Linked DNA regions of Danio rerio. The protein of the gene in region 4 interacts with the protein of the main gene of each other region in a biochemical or structural test. Links are inferred from orthologs where the notes say so. Each region holds a gene or a part of one and is shown on either strand. Other genes may lie near its edges.

Region 1 (3,520 bases), on a different chromosome or scaffold from region 4:
CTTTGTTAGGATCATTATTTAAAAGTGCAGTATGTGACATCTAGTGGATGAACTAGGTATTGCAGTCCAAATTCAAAATATTGGATTTTTTTTCCCACCCAGCCCCTCCTCAGGTTGCTGAGACCAGCAGGAGTGAGCCAAAAGTCAAAGTATTCACACAAGTAGATTGACATTACATATGAAGTCAATGCAAACGCGATCGAAAAGGAGCATTTCTACAGTGCAGCGCAAATATTTTACTTGTTTTTGCCTGTCTTTTTTTTATTTATTTTATTGCCACATCAGCAATGTTTGGCTATTTCATGGCAAGATTAAAACGGATTAAAACAAACAACAAAATATTTATGCAACTTCAAATAATTCAACTCGAGCAGAAAATTAGCTTGAGGTAAATAAACATCACTCACTCTAGTTTACTCACGGGAAGCTTAAAGTTGGTGTGAACCAGCATTACACTATAAGCTTCTCAGCTAATGTTTGTGTTTGTAACATTTTTCTATTGTTTGCCAATTTGAAACTACCTCATGTTAATTTTTATAACTCAGAATCTACATCTTATTTTAAAGGCCCGCATACATTGAGACGGCAGTCTTCAACCAAGGCAACCTGGGGTGCCAAAATATAATGGCTAAAAATCGCAGTAGGCAGAGTTACACAGACCAAAACAAAGACAGACCTTCATACAATTTCAAAGTAGAACAACTGACATCAGCATTGTTTTTTCAGATAAACAAGCAAGTTCACTTACAGGGCTCGAAATTAACTTTTTTACTTGGTAGCACCAGTGCTCCCGACATCAAAAATTTAGGAGCACCCACCAACAATGATTGAGCACCGCTGCAAATTGAATTTTAAGGGATTTACTGTATTTTAAAACAACATTAATTAGGACTAACAAAAACCAGAAACAACTATCTAACTAATGCTGAAATGACATTGATATTTGTGTGCAATAATTCCAAAATGAATGTCGAATAATTATAAAATATTAATGTTGATGAAAATGACGATAATAGTAACAATGAATTACAGTTCTCATCATCATGCTGCCTTGAATGTGCTTGAATGCAGGTTATCTGCTATAAAAAGTCTGTTACTTTATGAGAAATAAATGTATAGTTTGCATCAAACAAAAATGAAGCATTGCAGTAAGAAATATTTATTTTGTACTGCTGTTAATATATGCATGTCAGTTTAATAAATAATATTTCTGCCATAAAACAAACAAAAGATTATAATAAATAATTAAATTCAAGCCTGAAAGCAGCAAAACAGTCATCAGTAACTAAATAAAAAAATAAATAATATACACCTCTAGAAAGAATAGACAAAACAAAGTAAGTAAAGTCTCACTTCTATCACTCTTTAAAAGTTTTGGTTTCAGTTTGTGTCAATTTAAAGGTTCAGTCTGAGCTGATCTTCATTTTTCTGTGTTTGTGGAAAAGCAGGCGAGTCAACCGACCCAATTTATGAGCAGGCAGAGCAGGATTCTTGCGATGACCATCGGCGCAATACCACTGTTTATGAGCCGCAGCTTCAGTGTGAACTTAGTAAAGGCGAGCTTCTTTGGCGATGATATGTCCAGTATTAGATTTAACTTTTAGCGGACATTTGCGCTGAACACGCAGTGAATGCAACGCATCGAGATTCGGGCGCCTTCTCCGAAAAGCACATGGTCGATTGATCTCAGCTGGCGGATCAATATTCACCACATGTCATGATCGCTTTCATCTGCGCCTCAACTTTAGGTGGGGTTTGCAAACCTGTGTGCTTTAAGTTTTCACTCTTCAGCCGTTTGCATTTCCCGTGGTCATAAAAGCTTCTTCCCTGTCACCTGACTGCGGAATATCTTGAGTGATTGACAGCTAATATGAACCAATATAGCGGCAGGGAAGACCGATTTAGCACGTTTTTAGAAAAAATCTAAACAGGTCACACTACAACCATTATCTGCAGTCGCACTAATGCTCCCATATATATTATGAGGTTGCATAGATTATTCTCGGGCGCATTTGCGACCAAAACAGTCGCAATTTCGAGCCCTGACTTCGCATATTTCTGAAATATCTGCAAAAATATTATGGATATTATAGTATTAATAGTCCAAAACTTACATACAGCCCCTTTAATTATAAAAGAGACAACGAACAATTTGATTGCAAAAGAAATCTGACATATGAAATGGCCAATTAAAAAATAAATCAAGATCAGCTAATCACAGTGAAATATCAGTATCGTCCTTAAATTAAAAGTAACAAAGCTGGCAACATATAATGCTGTGCTGTTATAGTGTTTCTATACCTCAATAAGGGCCTGACTGGCTTCTTCACTCAGTCTGGGATGTACAGTTGTGCGAGCGAAGGCGATGTAGTCTTTCAGTACAGCCATGTCCAGATGCTCCTCTTCAATCTGCTCTTCACTCTGATAATACAGAGAGACAAGGTGGTGCGCCAGACGCCTGTCATACGCCTCGTCCTGAGGGTCCAGCATTAGGAAGATCAAATCAAACCTGGAAAAAAAACAGATGCAGAGAGACAATTATTAGACAAAAGAAGAAAAAAAAACATTAAAATAAAAAGCAGCTTATGTTGAACTAATATTATGAATAATTAATAATCTTTGAGATCACAAAAGTAAAAAAAAAATTAAGTTCTTTTATGTAAATTTGCCCTATTTGTTAATAAATGTCTTTAAAGTTAGTTTATAATTTAATTTGACAACTAATTTAAATTAAACACTTCTATACTGACAAAACTAATATTTAATTATATCATCCAAATGTTTTTTTTCTTTACTTTTAAACATTAAAATTATCACATAATTATTGGCATTTCACATAAACACTGCACTTAGGAAGTTGGTTCCCAAATAATATTAAGCAGCACAACACTTTGCATTACAAAAATGTAATACATCCTAAAAGAAAACATCTATTTTAAACTGTAATTATTAAACATTACATTTTTACTTTATTTTTAATCTAATTAATGTTAACTAATATTTTTCAAAACACATTGTTTTAAATATTCAGCAGATGATTAATATACATTATCCGCTATAAATACGGTTGTTTAATTTGTACCTGGACAGCAGTGTGTGAGGCAGCTGAATGTTCTCTATCGTTGTCTTTTTGGGGTTCCACTGAGACTCCACCGGATTGGCTGCTGCGAGGATGGAGGTCCGAGCATTAAGCTGACAAATAATCCCAGCCTACGAAACACACACACAATCCTGCATTAATCATCAGTTCAAACAAATGCATTGCAATTCCAAACCCAATCCTTCATGCACCTTCAGATACATGTCGGTATTCATTAATTCGATATATTGTGATAATGAACATGCACAATATTGATATCACAGGTACCTCAAAACACCATGATTAATTGTTTAAACATTTGAGTGCCTTTTAAGAAAATGTTGTATTAGTTTGTTGTATTAGTATTGGTTAGGTTATTTTCAAAAAGTAAGACTTACTGAATCTGAGACTATTTATAGGCCTTTTGTTCATGAATTCTGA
Region 2 (2,465 bases), on a different chromosome or scaffold from region 4:
CGTTTGATTGGCTGTTGCATTTATGTCGCAGTGTGACGTGAACATTCTGACCAATGGCAGAGCATTACTTTTTTTTTTTTTCCCAGCAGACGACTGACAGACAGTTGCTTTTCCCGCTCAAAAAAACTTATTCAGGATAAGTTATTGTTGCATACAATGGCGAAACTTGCACATTTATTTGTTTTTTAGATAACTTCTTTATCATGTTTTAATGTAGCTTTTGAAAATAAGCTAACAGCGATGTGATTTTCAGATCGAAGCGAATGCTTCAAGTGGGAACTTATGCCTAAAGTAAACTTTAAGCAAAACGTCCTACATTAGTTCTGAATTTATGCATCCATCAGTATAGTATTTTAGGCATTCAATTGTGAGTACAGATAAATTGGATGAAAAAAAACTTAAAAGTTTTCCTCACTTGGGAACGAAAGGGATTGCTTTCAAAATGAACTGTTTGCGTTTCCTGCCCTGGTCTATTTTTCTGGTGGCATATTTAGTTACCGTTTCAAGATTAGTAGTTTAAAAGTGTTTGAAAATAATGCTCTTCACTGTTATGTGAGTGGCTCTTAAAAGAGCCGTTTAGTTTATGGAAGAATCGAGCAGAAATAGTAGATTACTTCTTCTTGGGAGCCGCTTTTTTGGGCTTTGCCGCCTTGGGTTTGGCCGTTTTGGGCTTGACTGCTTTCACCTTCTTGGGGCTCTTGGCTGCTTTCTTTGCAGCTGCTGGTTTCTTTGCCTTCTTGGGGCTCTTGGTGGCCTTCTTGGCAGCCGCCGGCTTCTTAGCTTTCTTGGGGCTCTTTGTTGCCTTCTTCACAGATGTGGCCGCCGGCTTCTTCGCCTTCTTGGGAGATTTCTTAGCGGCGGGCTTCTTGGCTTTCGTGGCGGTTTTCTTGGCTGCTTTCTTGGGCTCAGCTTGTTTCTTATTGAGCTTGAATGAGCCGGAGGCGCCTGTGCCTTTGGTCTGGGCTAGAGTGCCGTTGGTCACCAATGCCTTGACTGCGGTTTTGACGCGGGAGTTGTTCTTCTCCACATCATATCCACCGGCGGAGAGAGCCTTCTTCAGGGCTGCGAGAGACACGCCGTTTCTCTCCTTGGACGCAGTCACAGTCTTGACGATGAGGTCGCGGACATTTGGGCCCGTTTTCTTGGGCTTGGACGCCGCTTTCTTCTTGGGAGCTTTTGCCGGCGTGGCAGCGGGAGCTGGAGCAGTTTCAGCCATTTCTCAGAGGAGTAACCTTCACCTACAACTAGCAGTGAAAAATGAAGCTCTGCTGGGCGGCGCTGTGAACTTAACTGTCACATGAGAACCGTGTAGACTCAATCGCCGCTCCTCAGACAATCGCCTCGACACAAAACTTGTGCTTTCTCCGTTTAAACAAAGACTAAAAAAAGTGCAATAAAATATTTTACAGCAGACTAGAAAGACCTTTTTGATATAAAGAGGGTCAAGCCTTTGTCATGGAATTCAAACAGGAGACGCCCTGTATTTTGTTTTAGATTTATGGAGTCATTTATCCTCAGTTCTTTCACTGAAGTTGTTTTACTATGCACAATAGGACCTGTGAAAATATAAAACAAGATATGCAGCAAGAATTGTTAATGTTTATATATATATATATATATATATATATATATATATATATATATATATATATATATATATATATATATTTATCTATTTATTTTTTAAAATAAGACCTTTTTATATTGTATATTTTATATTTTGTTTCTTTGTTTGTTTCTTTGTTTGAACTTTATTAATCCAAAAGAAAAAAAAAAATCATGTCACACCAGAGTTCATCACTCAATAAAATAAATAAAATATAAAAAATTCTAAATAATATATAAGACAATAATAACAATAAAAAAACATCCATACTGAACAGCTTAATTTCAAGCAATAAGAAATATCCACAGTATAAATGAAATTAAAATTCTACATTATTTATCAATTGCCTTGAAGCAAATGCATGTTTTAAAGTATTTTTAAGTATTTTAAAGATGTTTCAGTACTTTAAAATACTGCACCAGTGAGTAGCATATTAACCTACATAATGCAAAATCTGTAAATAACAAAGCAATCATCAGAAGTTTATTATAGTTGTGGCAGTATAACCCTAACAAAAACAAGATGCCTTGCTATAATGTCTTCTGTCCAAAGATGCTATTATTCTTGTGTCGTGAAAAACATTTAGACCATGCTTCTCGAACTCAATTCCTGGAGGGCCACAGCTCTTCACAGTTTTGCTCCAACCCTAATCAACCACAGCTAATCCAAAAGTTGTTCAAAAGAGTCTCAAACACATTGATTATTTGAATCAGCTGTGTTTGATTAAGGTTGGAGCAAAAGTGTGCAGAGCTGTGGCCCTCTAAAAATTGAGTTTGAGACCCATGTAGACCAGGGGTAAGGAACCTATGGCTTGGAAGCTACATGAGGCTCTTTGATCAAAAATATGTGGTTCTCCTGC
Region 3 (4,152 bases), on a different chromosome or scaffold from region 4:
TAAAATCCACATGAACCAGAACCTGCATTTTTTTTCGTATTGTGACGCAGTTCCTAGACAAACTGAATTCTAAATGAAAACAGTGGGCGTGGCTTGTTTTCTTCTACTGCTAGCTGATTGGCTGTAGTAGAGTAGGCGTTCCATTGGGGAAAGATGGGGAAAAGGGTTTGGGGAGAGTTATTACAACCGAACAGACTCCTCCTCCTACTTATTTTTGTTTGTTGTCATAGCGATGACAGTTTTAGGGGTGTGGTTAAGAATGTTAGCCACACCCAATACCTCAGACAGATCAATCTGAGAATTTACCTGAACAAACAGGAAGTTCATTTACAGATTTACATTAAGGATTACAATGTAAACTATTGTTTTGTTAATAACATGCACAGATGAAGTGTTCATCACAAAATTAGCAATGTGAGCTAACAACAAGAGGATTTCTTGTGTACTTTAAAATAAAGCCACAGTCATACAGACCTATGTTTAAGCCCTAAAGTTTACTGTTTACTATTTGGAAGTTAGACCATGCTAAAAATAGGGTTTTGCAACACCAAGCATAGATTTACCATAGCTTTGTGTCATTATAACAATCCAATATTACATAAACAGACAACTTCATAATTCTATAAGAGACCTAGAAATATATATTATTATATAAATACATAGTTACATCAATCAAAAAGGGATAAAAAAAAACAAATACAAATGGTGACTACAAAATTCTAATAGATAAAAAAAATAAATAAATAAATGTATAAATATATGTATACACACACACACACACACACACTTCATTAAATAATATTTTTTTATCTACTAATGCAAAAATCTTTATAATCTAATATTTTAAAAATAAATAATAATATAAATATCAATAGGTAATTACAGACAACTACATAATCATAATTCAGTAAGGTATTACACAAAAAAACATATAGATCAATCCAGAAAACCTTAACATTTCGCATGCTAATAAAACATTTTCCTGGTTAATTCGCATAAATATCCTACTGCTGACTCCACGCGAGCTCTGCGCCTCTGAGCTGTCATGACTGAGAGTTTCTGCGGGCTGGTGTGCTTTTATATTGGGCAGTGAGTCACAGAGGACCGGCATTTGTTCGGGCATGTTCGAGCGGCTGCAGTGAGCGCGCCTGGCCGCCAGAGGGAGCAGCGCTAGACATGCAGCGCCGCCTACAGCTGAACAGCTACATTATTAGTCCAGCAGTGAAGCTTCATTATCAAACCACTGTAGTCCAATGACTTAAAGTAACTTGGTTAAGCCTTTAAACTGAAAACTAGAATCTTAATGTAATATTAAGAACTGTCATTAAAACTGACAGTGTTCATTATAATTCAATTCCTTTTTAACCTTTATCTTAATATTATGGTAAATAGTTTTTAAAAAATCACCATATTAGGCAACTGATTGACTTTTCATTCATTTAAAAAAGTTGAAAAATTAAGTTAATAATGTTTAAATTACACAAAACTTTGTGTAATTTTATAATGATAATCCATCTTAATCTGCATTAAATGAATGAAACTTAACAAAATTGAGTTTTTTCTTTGTAAGATACATGATATCTACATATTTACTTAGCAAAATGCCAATATTATACGTTTTCTTCATAAAAGTTGGCGTTATATATATATATATGGGTGTGTATGTACTGTATGTGTGCATTTAATATATGCATCATCAACAAAATAAAATTACTTACTAAAATATATGATTATATATATATATATATATATATACACCCGTCATGAACTCTCGTGCATTATAATGGGCAACATGTTCTTGAGGGTCAGAGGTCAAATTTTTTATCTAAGATGTTCAGTCTGATTCTAATTTTAAGAGACTTACCAGGAGACCTTTAAGATTTTTAAGAGACTTACCACACCACAACCCTGACAAACTAAACTGCATAATTCACTGAAATAATGCATGTCATGATTAAAATATATAGAAAATAATACACTTACTAAATCTGACAGTGTATTAAATCATTGGTAGTTCTGAATATTTCTGTAATGTGGCGTGCTCTTTAGAGTTTTTTCCGCCCAATTTTCAAAAAGTTATTTTCTAAAAAATAAAAAAAAAAAAAAAAAAAATTAGATGAAGAAAGAAGTTTCATTGGTGACGTCACGCGCCTGTCACTGGACTCTGATTGGCTTCTGCGATGGAACGTGCCGTTCATCTCGAGGAAAAAAAAATTCAAGAAGTCAGCGGGAAACCGAGTCCGCCTGTGATTGGCCAGAAGCTGACAAGAACACGCCCTCTCACTCCAGCGCTCCACGTGAAGCTGAAACTCGTGTAAGCCGGTGGAAAACACGTCGAGATCTGATACGACCGAGACTTTGGAGTTCACAATAACACAATAACAATCGATCAATCACAACTCACACCGGTCGATCAGCACAGTTCTCGATTAAAGTCAGTCTGAGGTGTTTATTTCAGTCGAGTGTTATCTGACAGAGCAAACTAAAGTTTAGAAAAGTTCCACTAAAGCACTCACAGCATCACATTAACACAATTTCAGCATATATAAAGCAATATATAAGCAAATACCCGACAACAAACGTGCAAAAGTATTTAAAACATGCAACTTACATGTTTTGAGCTTCTGCAAGAGCTGAAACTGTAAACCCGCTGATGTCAGAGTGAATGTGAGGGTTTCAGATCTCCTCAGGAGCAGTATCAGGTTTAAAACAGGAGCTGAGGAACACCTGAAGCTGGAAGTGTGGAGAAACTCAATCCTGAGCTGGAGGATCTGCACACTGGAGTTTTTCTGCTGCCTCTGACGACACTTTCCCAAACTTTATGAACTCCGATGGGCGTGTCGAGGCGGTGGGCGGAGCCTGCGAGCGCTGCACGTGGACTAGAAGCCCGGTAAACACATGACCACACGTGAGCGCGTGGAGACATTCCAGAAGATCAGCGTCACAGAAAAGAACAGAACCTTCCGAGGAGCCGCCCAGAAAACGCGCTGTTTTTACACGAGACTGTGCTATTATTTACTCATCAATAACAAATATAGAGAAATCAGTGATCACGCTAACAATTCAAATAAGCACATATATTTAATAGATATATTAAACATTTCTGAAGTACTTCTCCAGGAGCTGCTGGGCATATAGTAACCCCACCCAGATGTACTGATTTACAGCTTGGTGTTTTTTGGTCTTTCAGCCTTTGTAAGAAAAAAAAAAAAGTGTGTAAACGTGGAGAAAAAACACTGTTCTTGCATGTATGACGTCAGGAACACAATTTTTAACAAAGTGAGATTTCCTGAACTAATATATATATACACATACACACACACACATATTTGTTTCCTAAGATTAGTATCTATAAAACTGCAATGTTTCGTAATTTTTGTTTAATGGTACAGATATGGAGGATGAAGCCTGCAAAAACTATAAATAAATAAATACGCAAATAAAAAAGTATAAATCCACAGATTCCTGCATAAATGAAACAATAAATACGCAAATTAATAAATCTACAAATTCGTGCACAAATAAAACAAATAAATATGCAAATAAATAAACAAGTAAATCCACAAATTCCTGCATAAATAAAACAGTGAGTAAATAAATATGCAAATACATGAATAAATCTACAAATTCCTGCATAAATAAAACAATATATATATATACATACATATATATATACATACAATAGATAAATAAATAAATTAATAAATAAATATGCAAATAAATAATAAATAAATCCACAGTTTTGCATAAATAAAACAATAAATGAATAAATATGCAAATACATGAATAAATATTTATTAATCCACAATTTCCTTCATACATAAAACAATAAATAAATACACAAATACATAAGTAGGCCTTAATAAATCCATAAATTCCTGCAGAAATAAAACAATAAATATGCAAATAAATACATATAAAACCCACAAATTCCTGCATAAATAAATATAAAAATAGTGCGGCGAGATTATTAATTAAATAAATTATACAGATGTCGGGGGAATAAGAAAATGTTCAACTGAAAATGAAGCATTTTTTTTCCTTCTTTCAAACCGCACGAATAATTATTTATATATTTATTTTTGCAGGGATGCAATAGATTTATATATACACTTATATACTTGCATACTTATTGCATACTTATTTTTTGTT
Region 4 (4,153 bases):
TCTCAGGACAGACATGCACGAAAGAAAGCGGTCCAGGTAATTGACAGCCAGGTACAGGGTCTCAGAGCACAGCTTGTATTCTTCGCCAACTTCCACCAGCCAGTCCACAAGAATGACCCTCATGCAGTTGGTTATGTCAGGCTGCTTTCTCATATAGCCGGGTTTTGGTCTGTATTTAACCTGAAGCACAAAAAAAAAAAAAGTGTAGATGCAGAGCAAAACAAACTAAACTAAAACAGGTTAAACTAAAAAGACAAACTTCGCATTCACGCAGGTATCTGTGGATGTCCTCAGCATATTCAGAAACACACAAGACGTCCTCAGAGGAAGCAGCTTCTTCATCAGCCAATGAATGCATGGATGAATCCATAAATGACCCTGAAGTGTTTAGAAAAGACAGTTTTAGGCCACAAATCAATCTGTGATATGGATTAGTGCATTCAAAATACTGCATTGTTGATTTTTTTGTTGTTGTTGTTGTTGTTGTTGAAAGGACACAATAACCATGGATGGACTTAACCAATAAGCGAAGTAAGCAGTCGCTTAGGGCTCTGGGGAATATGGGGGCCTGACCAGTGCTAAGAAGCCCATGTTAATCAAATAGTAATTGTAAAATCTGTCTATAACTATTAATATTGTTAAAAAAAGTTATAGACACTTTTCAAAACCGGCAACGCCACATGAAATACTAAATTAAATAAATAAAATTAACTGTACAATGTGTACATAGTCTTTGAACTTATATTTAAATGTTACATTAAGATAAAGACTTGACTTAATATACGTTTTAAGTTTACAAAAAAAATAATAATAAAAAAATCTAGAGTGTTTCAACACTAGGGCCCTGTACCTGGAATTGCTTAGGGCACCCAAATCACCAAGTCAGCCCCGTGTATACTGTACCTGCAAGTTAACCGTTTATATACTGCCCAAATTATGCCGAATAACTGTGCTCATCACTGGGTGACAAGCTGTTAAAATATGCTGAAAGCATTATGTTAATAAATATAATATGTAATCAATATAACTTCAATAAAACAAACTCTGTCCCACATCGGATGTCATTCCCGCACCAGGTTTCTGCAACCCTGCTGCGTGTGCATCCTGAATGTTTACAAACCAGTAATTAGGCTGTACACAACTCAACTTCAGATTTTGAATAATGTAACATGCACCTTTAAGCTGCTTTGAAACAATAATTGAGAAGTGCTTTACAAGTAAACTTGAATTAACGTTAATGAAAGAAAATCAACTACTCCGGTTTTGTTTGGGGGAGGAGCGAATGTGGTTTTCTACATTGAAAATATTTGTCTGTTCTTATAACTTCTGATTAACGGAAATTAAGCCAACATTAACTCCTTATACCACAATTTAACATCTTTTACCGCCTGTTAAAACTTAGTTTGACAAATTACTAAACCAATTCTTGCTTAGCAATTCCTTTTCTATACGATTTAGCACAAGGTTAGTATTACAGTATATTGCATTATGCATGCAAAAAATAAAATAAATAAATACATTTAAAAAAGCACTCAATTTCTACATACAAGGAAAGTTACAATGGTAAATGCATTTCACTAAAGGTAAAACATTCAAGTGTTGGGGTAAACTTACAAGTAACGAGAGATCCATAATATTGCTCTCCTAAATAACGCAATATTTGAGCTATTTTTGAAAAACACGTCATTTTAGTTTAATCCGCTTTTAAAAAGACTAAAAGCTAAATTAAAATAAGTCAATGAGAGAAAAATCATTATTTTGAACGCATCTAAGAGGAAAAAGGGGATTATAGTCTCAATGGACAGTGATTTCACTTGACAAACATTACTTTAAACAATCTGTATATGCGGCTCATAGTTCTGGGGTCAGGAAGTTCTCGGTTAACTAAAATATTTTATATGCTTTTTTATTTTAAAAGGTAAATAAAAGGTCTGCTTAAATTAAAACAGCTCATCTAATCGCAGAGCTCCTCTATTTAAACAAACAAGTTATGAAAAAGTCTCAGCCAGGTAATACAGAGTAATGCAAAGGTAATGTAACGGATTTCTTGCCATAAAAACAAAGTACAACTAGTTACTTTTGTGGGAGTAACTCAATATTGTAACATTACTTTCAAGTTACTTTTCACAACACTGACTATAACACAGCAGTCAGTAGCAATTGAGTAGCTTCATAACAGTAAGTTACTTCTAAGCTAAGCTAAACATGTATATATGTGATAAAACTTATTCTTGTAGATTATAACACACCTGAGCCAATATCTTGAACAGCATCGTCGAGTACTAGCAGTTCTGAAGGCAGCAGGAATGATGTTGACTTGACTGACTGTACAGTGGCTGTCTCAATCACACTATCACCAATTGACGCTCTGAACGTACTGACGTCACGCTTAGACACCTCCTGGAGCGTTGTCTCATATTTGGACGCAACCTGGGTTAAACGAGAGAAACGTCAATTTGTTTAACCATCCATTTGTTAATAACAGAAGGCAAACATCTACAATGTACCTGTCCAAATATTCGATTATGCTGCTCATTCTCGGTCAAAACACCGAGCACAATTCTTTGGCCGGGCTTGAGCTGGCGCAGGCCTTCCGCTCTTCCTAAAATGTTCTCCTGACGACTGGAAAGAGGAGCAAAACTGCGCGAAGACATCTGTCAAAATCGAGATTTTTTTCAAGATGTTGTGTAATAAATTAAAGTTAATATTTAAAACCGAACCATTCAAAACAAACCTTTTATATCGTCAAACTTTTTTTTTTAAACGTATGAACTTTCAGTGGATTGGTTAAAGTGCTTTACAAGTGAGTTTCACGCTAACTCATTTATACTTGCAGGTGGCCAATCAACATGAGGCTAGTTGATGGTTTACCTAATTAGTGTTGCATTTCTCAGGTGTTGCAAATAATGTTTCGACAACAACGCAACCATGGAAACGCGGTATGTATGCGCTGCAGTTATATAGATATATATACATTAGATGTCGCCTATCCTGTTGTTGTTTATTAGAAGGAATGCGTCGATAGAGCCGACATTTTAGTACAGGGTAGCGCTCCTTTGAAATGAATGCGGGACCAAGCTGTAGTGGAGAGACACAAAAAACGATTTTTTAAATTATCCTTATTAAGAGTTAAATAATAAAATAAATAAATCTGTTTTGTTAAAAATATTTATTAAGCATTTTATACGAGTAAAATAATGTGTTTTATTAAATAAAAGAATTTACCATGAGTTGCATATGTTGGCACACACGCTTTAATTTAAAATCATTGAAAACAATAACATGCAGTCACACGTCCAAGTGTAAAGTGTTCATTTATTCATTCATTTTCAGCTTAGTCCCTTTATTAATCTGGGGTCGCCACAGCGGAGTGAACCGCCAACTTATCCAGCACGTTTTTTACGCATCGGATTGCTTTCCAGCCACAACCCATCTCTGAAAAATAAAGTGTTCATATATTTTTTTAAATTTTTATCAAAATAGACTGTTAAATCATACATACAGTATAGTTGAGGTCAAAAGTTATGATTAATTTGAAAAAAAAAATCTTTATCATTATTTATTATTAATTAATTAATTATTTTGCCTAAACAAGAGGGATCACATTATATCATTATATTTCAGATAAAGTAGAAAGTAATATTTGGATGAAAAATTCCCTTATATGAATTTTATATACTTGATTATAACAATTCTTAACCCTGTTAAGATTGAACCATGAACAAATAGTCAGAATATTCACATTTTTTTGGAACTAAATTGTTTATTAATCCTTCTATCAAGATCCAGTTTAATACTATATTTTACAGTCTGTGGTTTTATACCATAGCCTATACATGTTTTTTGAAATGTATTATGTATCATGTTGACACATCAGGCCTTTTGGCAACTTGTTTTGCTCAAATTTTAGTCACAAAAAAGTTTGCCCATAACATTGATAAAATAGAACATATCAGGCAGTTTGTCCCTGTTTATTTTAAACATTTTAGTGTTTTTTATTTCACTTTGCGAGGTGTAAAGCCGTTTCAGTCAATTGTTCATGCAAAGACAGACCTTACACCTCACATATGAGAAGTGATTGATGAGGAAAAAATATCTTTAATATATTAATGGAAAATTTTGGCATTCTTACTTGCCTGTTATAAAATATAGT
Region 5 (3,520 bases), on a different chromosome or scaffold from region 4:
ATATTTATTTTTAAGCCTCATCCTCAATAAATGATTGAGTTATTCACTCATTAAACGTCATGTTTCATTGCTAGATGATCATTTCTGAAGAATTATTCAGTGGCGCATTTTTGACGGCTGGTTGTTGCCAACTATTGGTTAAACAGTAGCTCCTTTCACACAGAGATACCAGTAAATATCCAGAAAATTTCCGGAACGACTTTACCGGTAAATTCAAAAAAGCGCTGTTCACTCAGGCGAGGACTTTACGGAATTTTTCCGGAAAAAGAGCGTTCACACAGCTTGTGTTTGTAAACATTTGACTACATTACAAACTCTTTGGATGGATCAGTATTGAGTACAACTCCAATGAAAACATCTGGAGGAACACTTTCGCATGTCGAGATGTTCATGATATGCATGTGTGCTGGCGCTATGGGCGCTCACGGGCATGCGCAAAGCTTGAAGGTAAACAAACAATGGATTATCATAAACATCTTATCGCTGATTATTTACACAGTTGGCATTAAGATGAACATATAAACGTTATCCGACTAAGATCTAGCAGCTAAATGTGTCTGGAAAAATATTCAAAGGCTTTTATTCTCATAAACTGTGCAGACGTGAATGCGTCTGACTGTTCTGATTGGCTAAAGTAGACGTCTCATGTCAGCACGTTCTAGACGTGGACATCTTTCCGGCAATCTTCCTACAGCGCAGCATTCCGGCAAATTACCGGTAATGTTACAACTTCTCTTTCCGGAAAATAGCCAGAAGGAATTTACCGGTATTTTCAAAAAGGGCCTGTTCACACATACACACCTTACGGAAAATTGCCGGTAATTTTCCGGAAAGGTCTGTATGTGTGAAAGGGGCTAATGTAACTGCTGCCTTCAATATTAATTTAAGCGTCAAGTTTAATGAAAATGACGGTGATTTTAATCTTTAGCATAAACATAAGTGGTTTTATCTAAACTATAACCTGTTGTTTCAGTATAGCCGTGTTATTTGCATGTCTGTAACTTCATAACGATCTCAAAACACTAAAGACTGAATCTCCTGATTGTTGCGTTTTTCGAACAGATTTGAATGCAGCGATTCGAAGCATTTATAATGTATGTTGCGTGGGTGTTGCAATCCAGATCTTTACTGATTAATCATGCAGCTTATACTGAATGCATTAATGCAGGCTGAACAGAGTTTTCAGTAAATGTTCTCACCAGTGGCCGCAAAGGGCCGTATTTTTCCATGGCGTTTTTAAACGGAGTGGGCGTACGAGGCATCGTGTCCAGATCAGACTTGTGATTTGGTGTTATAAACCTACAAAGGAGGAAACATACACAAGTTCAGCAGTCACATCAGAGCTGAATCGCTGTGTGTGTGAACGCAGAGACGTACAGGGAGTTTTCCTTCTGTGTGAGCGGGGTTTTGTCTCGGTGCAGCGGTGTGGTGACCACGGCTTTCTGACTGCACACGGGAGTGGAGGTGAGGGACGGGTTCTCCAGGTCCAGCGTGTCCTGCTTCGTCCACATGTTGAGGAACTTTGAGAACACAAATATAATATTAAAGGTTTTGAATAATAACAGAAGCAGTCAAATGTTTCCTAAAGTCTGACAGGAAAGTTTTTGCTATAGCAATTAGGTATGCAAAATGACAGACATTACAAGACAGTCAATGAATTAAACGCTTAACTATCAAATCAGAGAATCATATCTGTAATACATTTATAATAATACAAGAACTATCATATATTGCACCTTTAAAAGTTAGATTCTTTCAATTCTTTACAAGAAGTTAAAGAGAAAAAGAAAACAAAACACAAAGATAAGGTAAAAAAAAAATGTACAAATTAAAGACGCAAGAGTCATTTTATTGTCACTTGCAGCTTTAATTTGCATATTGTGGTAGCATTTTAGCAGGTAAATACAGGAGAACCATGCAGCCATTTATATGTGCCACACTTGCTGCAGCCAGTAGATGGTGATATGACTATAAATGAACATTGAGCATTTAGAGGACTTAAAGATCTTTTACCCCTTATAATATTTATGCAATGAAGCCTGACTGTTAAAAAAAAAGTGATCAAATAGAGATATATTTTAAAGATCTTTGAAACATGCATTTAAGACATAAAAACTAATTAAGGCCTTATTTTTACACTATGAAATGCAAGACTTTAGGGATCTGTGGCCACTCTGCTTATGTACTAACATTATCTCAAATGTTTAAAAGAACACTCAGATCCTGTGAAATAAGCTATTTTAACTTTAAGAGATAACAAGTAGAAAAGACCACAACTCCCATGATTCCACGCTCAGTCAGGCTGTCATTAAAATACACGCCCTCTTGTGGCCAAAATTACATAGTGCAGAGTTACTGAAGTTTGTCCTGGGCGCTTGCTTTTTTTTCAGTTACGTCTTTGGTTTGGTGCGTTAATCTTATCGTTACTATTATTCAAAAGAAGGTAATGATTCGCACTCAATTGCTTCGTACTGTTTTTATTTGTACTTTTTCTTACATTTTACGGGTGATAACAGACAAACAGAGGTTTCGGCACAAAGCCTTCCTCAGTGTGTGACACAATTCTCTATAATCAGGTGTACATCAATACAATAAAATTCTAACAGTTGACATTAAAAGTTTTCTACATTTGACAATTACCCAAAGATTAAAAATCACAAGTCTTACCTTCACCTTTACCCATATAACCAATTATACAGGATGTGATTTTTAATCTTTGGGTATTTGTCAAATGTAGAAAACTTTTAATGTCAACTGTTAGAATTTTATTGTATTGATGTACACCTGATTAATGATAATAGTTTATACACTTTCTCTCTGTAGAGTTAGGTCGGAAATGGGAAGATTGTTTATTGTCATTGCTGTGAAGATTATAAGTTATTGTGTGATTAATGGATAATGAAATGAGAGTGACGGTTTAACTAATTGCACATTGTGATTGACTATGGAATAAAAGGGTGGAGTTAGAGAATTGTGTCACACACTGAGGAAGGCTTTGTGCCGAAACGTCTGTTATCATCCATAAAATATAAGAAAAAGTACAAATAAAAACAGTACGAAGCAATTGAGTGCGAATCATTACCTTCTTCAAAATTACATAGTGTCAAAAAAATAAATAAAAGATTACAGTTTCAATGATCTGACAGCCATATTAAGCAGTGATGCAACATTAATATTTGACCACCCAATATGATTTAGTTGTTGATATTATTAATTAAAATATATGTACGCAAATTCACAATATTTCAATAAATAAATAAAATGCAGCCACTAAATATTGTGGATTGATCAGCGTAGCTGATTCACTGATATTGCACACTTTTTATTAAGAAATGATTATTATTGAAATGCATTTGTTTTATCCGATTGAAAACCAGAAATTAAATAAAAAAATTGTTTATTTAGTTAATTAAATAAATATTTAGTTTATTTAGCAGCTCCATTATTTTGCTGGTTTGTTTTATTAATTATTTCATTAATATCCATTAATTTTAGACATGGCATATACTGTATGTTGTGC

The links.
Region 1: the proteins of ccna1 (region 4) and mcm4 form a complex in vitro, tested with the Homo sapiens proteins (2 studies listed by BioGRID and IntAct, with this or other methods). The link is inferred for Danio rerio from reciprocal best matches to the Homo sapiens genes CCNA1 and MCM4.
Region 2: of the proteins of ccna1 (region 4) and si:ch73-368j24.12, one has a biochemical effect on the other in vitro, tested with the Homo sapiens proteins (2 studies listed by BioGRID). The link is inferred for Danio rerio from reciprocal best matches to the Homo sapiens genes CCNA1 and H1-5.
Region 3: the proteins of ccna1 (region 4) and cdkn1a form a complex in vitro, tested with the Homo sapiens proteins (2 studies listed by BioGRID and IntAct, with this or other methods). The link is inferred for Danio rerio from reciprocal best matches to the Homo sapiens genes CCNA1 and CDKN1A.
Region 5: the proteins of ccna1 (region 4) and mybl2b form a complex in vitro, tested with the Homo sapiens proteins (2 studies listed by BioGRID, with this or other methods). The link is inferred for Danio rerio from reciprocal best matches to the Homo sapiens genes CCNA1 and MYBL2.

What each region holds. Positions count from the first base shown.
Region 1 is NC_133199.1:39,257,460-39,260,979, forward strand, and holds part of mcm4 (DNA replication licensing factor MCM4), read right to left. Parts: intron 3,211-3,520; coding exon 3,083-3,210; intron 2,510-3,082; coding exon 2,302-2,509; intron 1-2,301. UniProt on the Homo sapiens protein: Acts as a component of the MCM2-7 complex (MCM complex) which is the replicative helicase essential for 'once per cell cycle' DNA replication initiation and elongation in eukaryotic cells.
Region 2 is NC_133182.1:6,162,019-6,164,483, forward strand, and holds si:ch73-368j24.12 (histone H1-like), read right to left. Parts: upstream 1,259-2,465; 5' UTR 1,217-1,258; coding exon 611-1,216; 3' UTR 520-610; downstream 1-519. UniProt on the Homo sapiens protein: Histone H1 protein binds to linker DNA between nucleosomes forming the macromolecular structure known as the chromatin fiber. Histones H1 are necessary for the condensation of nucleosome chains into higher-order structured fibers.
Region 3 is NC_133197.1:623,142-627,293, forward strand, and holds the start of cdkn1a (cyclin-dependent kinase inhibitor 1), read right to left. Parts: upstream 2,807-4,152; 5' UTR 2,612-2,806; intron 1,052-2,611; exon of another isoform or gene 1,048-1,051; coding exon of another isoform or gene 1,009-1,047; intron 1-1,008. UniProt on the Homo sapiens protein: Plays an important role in controlling cell cycle progression and DNA damage-induced G2 arrest. Involved in p53/TP53 mediated inhibition of cellular proliferation in response to DNA damage.
Region 4 is NC_133185.1:39,928,476-39,932,628, forward strand, and holds the start of ccna1 (cyclin-A1), read right to left. Parts: upstream 2,814-4,153; 5' UTR 2,735-2,813; intron 2,655-2,734; coding exon 2,508-2,654; intron 2,431-2,507; coding exon 2,250-2,430; intron 379-2,249; coding exon 260-378; intron 181-259; coding exon 1-180. UniProt on the Homo sapiens protein: May be involved in the control of the cell cycle at the G1/S (start) and G2/M (mitosis) transitions. May primarily function in the control of the germline meiotic cell cycle and additionally in the control of mitotic cell cycle in some somatic cells.
Region 5 is NC_133186.1:1,643,995-1,647,514, reverse strand, and holds part of mybl2b (v-myb avian myeloblastosis viral oncogene homolog-like 2b), read right to left. Parts: intron 1,521-3,520; coding exon 1,378-1,520; intron 1,300-1,377; coding exon 1,200-1,299; intron 1-1,199. UniProt on the Homo sapiens protein: Transcription factor involved in the regulation of cell survival, proliferation, and differentiation. Transactivates the expression of the CLU gene.